Xenopus tropicalis: one gene and its partner. The protein of the gene in region 1 interacts with the protein of each later gene in a pairwise test. Links are inferred from orthologs where the notes say so. Each region holds a gene or a part of one and is shown on either strand. Other genes may lie near its edges.

Evidence for each region. The genes of interacting proteins can lie anywhere in the genome.
Region 2: the proteins of hprt1 (region 1) and iscu interact in binary tests that used the Homo sapiens proteins (3 or more experiments, as listed by UniProt). The two-hybrid records come from large-scale screens. The link is inferred for Xenopus tropicalis from reciprocal best matches to the Homo sapiens genes HPRT1 and ISCU.

Annotation. Positions count from the first base shown.
Region 1 is NC_030684.2:68,454,790-68,458,450, forward strand, and holds part of hprt1 (hypoxanthine-guanine phosphoribosyltransferase), read left to right. Parts: intron 1-1,453; coding exon 1,454-1,500; intron 1,501-1,626; coding exon 1,627-1,703; intron 1,704-3,151; coding exon 3,152-3,199; 3' UTR 3,200-3,661. UniProt on the Homo sapiens protein: Converts guanine to guanosine monophosphate, and hypoxanthine to inosine monophosphate. Transfers the 5-phosphoribosyl group from 5-phosphoribosylpyrophosphate onto the purine.
Region 2 is NC_030677.2:146,320,181-146,322,812, forward strand, and holds the end of iscu (iron-sulfur cluster assembly enzyme ISCU, mitochondrial), read left to right. Parts: intron 1-159; coding exon 160-238; intron 239-1,033; coding exon 1,034-1,116; 3' UTR 1,117-2,057; downstream 2,058-2,632.

The DNA.
Region 1 (3,661 bases):
TATTAGGAAGACTTGGGGAGCAAGAGATGTGCTATAATGTTAGCCGGGAAAGCGGTAATAAAATGTACAGGCACATCTGCTTCAGAACCAACTTAGATTGCTCATAGTTTGTACAGAAAGACACCATAAAACTGACAGCATAGGTATTTCTCTGCTATGAGCACAATGCAGCAGTTTATAAGGGCCTGTTTTCTTCCCGTCTGCCTTCACATCAGCACAAACTGAAAAAGAAGTCTTTAGGCCTTAATAGGATAGAAGGGACGGCCCTATAAATTGTTTTCATCTAGTGTTCTTTATGTAATGAAACACAGCATCATCTGATAAAACTGACCCTAGTGTGTTTGTGTAAATGCAATAGGGACCCCTCTGGGGCAAGGATTGGTATGAATAATGTATAATCTATTCAGTTAGATCCTCCCAGAAGGTTGTGAAAATATTCTATGAAATCATCAGCAGCCGTCATAAGCAGAAAAAGTAGGAGCTTCTGTAGAGCAGATAAACCAGATTGTAATGCACAGCATTTATACTGTTGTCAAATAAGATACACTCTTCTAGTTGGGGCGTTTTTGATCCCAAAGTTTTGGAGGCAATCGATTAACCTGTCCAAAATTATTTTTTTCTCTGGTATGTGCTGCAAGGAGATGTAACAGAAAGAATTAATATTGTGTCTACCTTTAAATTGTCTTTCCTTCAGTCTTCTATGGCAGCACACAGAATTTCCCCCTTAAATATATCTTGTGTGAAAGAATCTTTGTCCTTTTATAAATACTGGAATCCCTTCCAGTAGAGCGAAGCTGAAGAAAAATTAAATTTAATGTTTAATGAATTTCTCAATTTGATTCCTTGTGTGAACATGAACACTAGATAAAGGACATCAGTGCTTATATGAGTAAAAGCAAAGGTAACAAGATGTATATTGTGTATGTGAAGGAAAGGGTGAGAATAGAATTTGCAATGTGAACATGTGGTAAAAGTGACTGGAGAGAGAAGGGTGATTACAGCCAGGGAACCCTGCAGTGATCATACAGTTCATTATCGGACAGTAAAATGAAATAGTGTGGATAAAGGCATCAGGGACAAAATTACATTTAGAAAAGACATGAACCGTTGGAGAATCAAAGAAAACACAGTGTAAAGAAAAGTAAAGCTTTTTGTTTTAATATTTGCTGCTGACTATTTTATTTTTTTGAAATCCAACATAAGTAAGTTGACATACTTTGCATGTTATGTAAAAGTCTTAAAGGGGATTGCCACCCAAAAACTTGCACAGTGAAATACAATGTAATTGTTTTCAACTTTTCAGTATAATTTTTTGTAAATGTAGTCAGTTCTCATTCAGTTCTGTTAATCAGCCAGATGCTGCTACATTGTTTTAGGAGTCGGAATGTAGAAAATAATTAAGCGTTTCTGTAATCTACCTGATGCCATATCTCTGATCTCTCTTTTTCAACAGCTTGCTTGTAAAAAGAACGCCACGAAGTGTGGGATACAGGCCAGACTGTAAGTAGTTTAGCAATGTCACATATTTACTATTACAGCAAACAAGTGCACATGCTATATAATGTGATTGTTATCTAAAAAGACAACTGTTTTTGCGTTATTTTCTTTTCTAAACTTTCTTTGTAGTTGTTGGATTTGAGGTGCCAGACAAATTTGTTGTTGGTTACGCATTAGACTACAACGAGTACTTCAGAGACCTGAACGTAAGTAATTATAGGATTTGCACAGTGTACTTTACATTATTGTCTGCTCACTGCTTGACTATATTACCCAGCATGCTTGTTAGTACATTGGGTCCCCAGTGATGGATAGAAATGTAAAAATAACAAACACACTTGTGGGGATTAAATCTCTAGATTTAACTACATATCAAGTAGATTGAATTAAACCCAGGGTTAGGAGCATACAATATCCCCCCCCCCCCCATGTGGGGTGAATTGATTCTCAGGGGGAAAAAATATAATTGCAAAGAAAAAGAAAAAACACCCCAAAAGAGGGGATGCAAAAAATGAATCAAATCTTGGGTCATAACCATTTAAAAGCACACCTTTATTAATTAAAATCATTCTCCAATTTAAACACATAAATAGGGAGAACAGGAAAAATATATATTGTAAGCATACAAGCAACTTGATCTCACAGTCACCCCAGACACATGATGCAACCCGTGCAATCTCAGACCATGTAAGCATACATAGAAAGGGGGCAAACCATCTCCAAGTGGAAGTCATTATGGCTTACTGTTGTCCCACTCTCCCAGCAGGCTGTGGCCACTTTCTCAAGTCTGACCAATAATTAGAATTTTCTATGTATGCCTGAGTTGCATGTGTAGAAGTCAGGTATCACCCAATTATGAAGGGACAGTCCCAATGAAAGTCACAAGTCCAGTACAAAAATACATATAACCAGAGAGACACGCTAATGTAGGTCGCCAAAAAGTGATCGATACTCATTAAAGATGCCTTGGCCAATCTATAGCCAGGGAGCATGGGCTGGGAGAGACGATAACCTCTGTGCATACCGCCACCAGGCTTCTCAGGAGGTACAAATATATATATTTTCCTGTTCTCCCTGTTTCTGTGTTTTTACTTGGGGAACAGTTTTATGGTTTATGAGCTGAGATTTGATACATTTTTTTGGAGGGGGGCTCTGCATCCCTTTTTTTGTTGTGCTTTTTCTTTGCGAAGGATAGAAATGCATCGGTTACGCTCTCTTTCATACCCGATGCATTGTCATGTGCTGATGTTGTTTTAAATAAATAATATATTCCAGAAGTTGTGCTATTAGTGATCCAAATCTGAGATTCTGACCCAAACTGAATCTTATTGTCACATGACTTTAAATTGCTGGGTGGATGGATTATGCAGATATTTGCACTCAAATTAAAATATTCAGCTTCGGTTTGTGTTCTTTAATATCCTTATATTTTTATTTGGTGGAATCCAAAAGTGGTGGATTTAGTAAATCCCTATTTTTTTAAACCATAGGTTTCATGAACTATACATAAGGCGCACATCTAGGCTAATCTTTTGATGGGCTTTAGTTACACAGTAATCCATATTATAATGTGCAGTTCAGAGAGGTGAAAATTGTGATTATCTGAGCTGGGTGCAAGTATTTATCAATTATTTTCTTTTCTTCTCCTTTTCAGCATATCTGTGTGATAAGTGAAGATGGTAAAGAAAAATACAAAACATAGACAGAACCTCTGGAATTGTCTGTTTGCCAGCTTTTTACAGTAAATAATGGATTTGCTGCCATTCGCCCCCAGAAACCTGTTTGCTTTGTATCTCAGACCCCTTCCTGCATGAAAGAAATTACAGCTTTCTCCAGAAGTTTGGCTATAGATTTCTATACATTGTTTTTTTAAGTTTCACATATTGTATTTCGAGACAACATAAATGTTGTATCAGAATTTAGCATGTTAATGACCTTCAAAGTAGAAGCCCGCAGGACACCGCAGCACATTACATTAATGGTCCTTTAAAAAGGCTGGGTCAAATTTAATATCTGGGGACTTGTAAAGGAATGTTTAGTTATGCAAAAAAAAAAAAAAAAAACAGCATTACAAAATGATTTAGCTAGTAGCTAGGCTACTGCCTGTCTGTGTGATGGCCACGTTGTAATATAACTTTTTTTTTTCTGCTAGTTTTGTATTAAA
Region 2 (2,632 bases), on another chromosome or scaffold:
CTTTAATACTGCTCTACTGCCACTCTAAAGTTTCTAATGAGTATATTCAGATAGGCAAGTCATATACACTTAGACAGGAGTCATTAGACTGTTTAGGGTAAAGTAATGGCCTGTTTTTTTGCTAATTAATATTGTATTATTTGTTTATATTAAACACAGGTTGATGAAGCTATGACTATCAAGAATACAGACATAGCCAAAGAACTCTGCCTTCCACCAGTGAAGCTGCACTGTTCCAGTAAGGGTCTTTGCTCTGTATTACCAGACTTATGAATGTTATCATATTTCCTGCATATTTTTATGTAAAAATAATGCTTTTTATAGATTAGGCAGAAAATGTTTGTCTCAGCAGCTTCTATGATCAGGTGCATAGATTCACTAGGAATCCTTCACTAGGACCCAAAGTAGATTTTCATTTACTTTTCCAATGAGGTGTACAGAATAGTGCTAAAGGTGCCATAACACACTGACTAAGCTTTTTGACAGCTGTTTTTTGAAGTGTCACTCTAATTCCATAGGAGAGGCAGTGGAGTTTTCATGTGGTGATGGCACTGTAGGTGAAAACATGGGAAGAGGGAATTTTTTTGTCACCTTTAACAGTGATGGCACACACGGAAATTAGTTGCTCAAAATAAATCTTCACTACCATGGGCAACATTAATGTAATAATTTAGATTGCTGGTGGGAAAATGTATGCATTTCTTTTGATTGCATATTTATCCTGGGCGGGCGACTTTCTGGGGTGCCATCACTCTAAAGGGCATAGTTGGGAGGCTTATATCCCACTGCTCATTATATATTGTTTACTGCAGCAATACTGTCAACAAGCAACCAAAGACAAGGTGCAGGGAATGTTTCAGAGGCTTTTAACTAACTCACTGCCACAGTTAACAAGACTGAAAAATATTTTATTTAAACATCTTGTATTAGTTATGAACTAGTTAATATATTTATCTAACTCTTCTGCACATTATTTCATCTCTGATTTGTCTCTTGTAACCTTTTGTGCCTATGTTTTTTCCATTTTATTTAGTGCTGGCTGAAGATGCCATCAGAGCAGCCCTGGCAGATTACAGACTGAAGCAGGATAAAGACGAAGCTGCAGCAAGTGGCTAGCTGAGCAGAGTGTGAGCTCTACTATAATGGCAACATTTAGTCACTTTATGCTGTTCTTTTGGGTATTAAAGCATGTCTTTACCATTTGAATGGCAGACTTCTGATACGCACAATTATTTAGCAGCTTGTCAAACTGTGTGAATCTCCTCCTAATAATGTGATTATTTTCAATTTGCAAGCTGAGTATACTTAGAGTGTATAAACAAAACTATTTTGTTCTTTATTCCCTAATGTCCAAGACCTCCACCTATCCTCTGTTCACATGTAATTTCTGGTTTAAACACATGGCACTACATTACAGTGCCAGGTTTGTCATACCTTCCACGTAAAGTAATATAGAAATTTCATCTAGTCATCTAGTTTTTGTTTAAGTATTATTGGGAAATGCCACAACGCACATCTTCAGATGCACAACGATTGTGAGGATGTGTGGTTTTTCCCCGTCTGTTTCCAGCACCCTTATGTTTGAGTTCTTGATAAGTCTTGTACGGTTTTGTATATAAATGGCTATGCATTCATAATACAATATAAAACCCATGCTGAATTACAAGAATCAAACAAACGTTGCCACTGTGTTCTGATCCAATTTGTGTGGCTCTTACTGAACTGAAATGCAATTGTTCTCAGAAAGGTTCATTTTTGAAAATTAAATGTCTGACTGGAAGCCCCTGATCCCCTCCTTCTGTTACCAAGACTGGGTTTGCTAAGCCATATCCTGCCAGAGAAAAGTACATTGAGTTAATTACATTGGGCCTTTAATAGGGAGTGGCATGTTCCAGGTATCATACCAGCAGCCCTGAAAATTCCCCATTTTGAGTACTCAGAATGATACTGGTAGAATCGAAAGCAGGGATTATATGATGCTTCTTAGTTTTGTATGCAGTGCATTTGACCAGCTGCCTTTTGCTTTTGTATATATTTGGTAAAAGATAATAAAAAAAGAAAGTGTTATATGTGTTGTCTTTTTGTATTTTAGATAGTTTGCTGCTGTGTGGGTGTGTGTAGATATATGCATATTTGCTAACTGTACAGCATGGTATAGGCACCATTTATGCCTGATCCATAAATTATGACAACTCTTTTATAATATTTTAAATAGTATGAAGCAGGAAGCACAGCCTTAATTGGGTGGTTCACCTTTAAGTAAACTTTTATTATGATGCAGAGGGTGATATGCTGAGACAATTTGCAATTTTATTTTTATTTTTAATTATTTCAGTTTTTGTTCAGCAGCTCTCCTGTTTGGAGTTTCAGCAGCTATTTGGTTGACTGATATATGAATAGGAGAGGCCTTACTAAGGTAACAATAACAATAAAACTTTAGTTTCACAGAGCAGTAGTTTTTTGGCTGCCGGAGTCTGTGACTCCTGTTTAAAAGCTGCAAAAAGTTAGAAGACAAGTAATTCAAAAACTATAAAATAAATAAATAAGACCAAAAGTTGCTTAGAATTGGGCATTCTATCAAATACTAAAAGTTAACTAAAAAGGTTAACCACTGCTTTTAAGGTGGCCATAC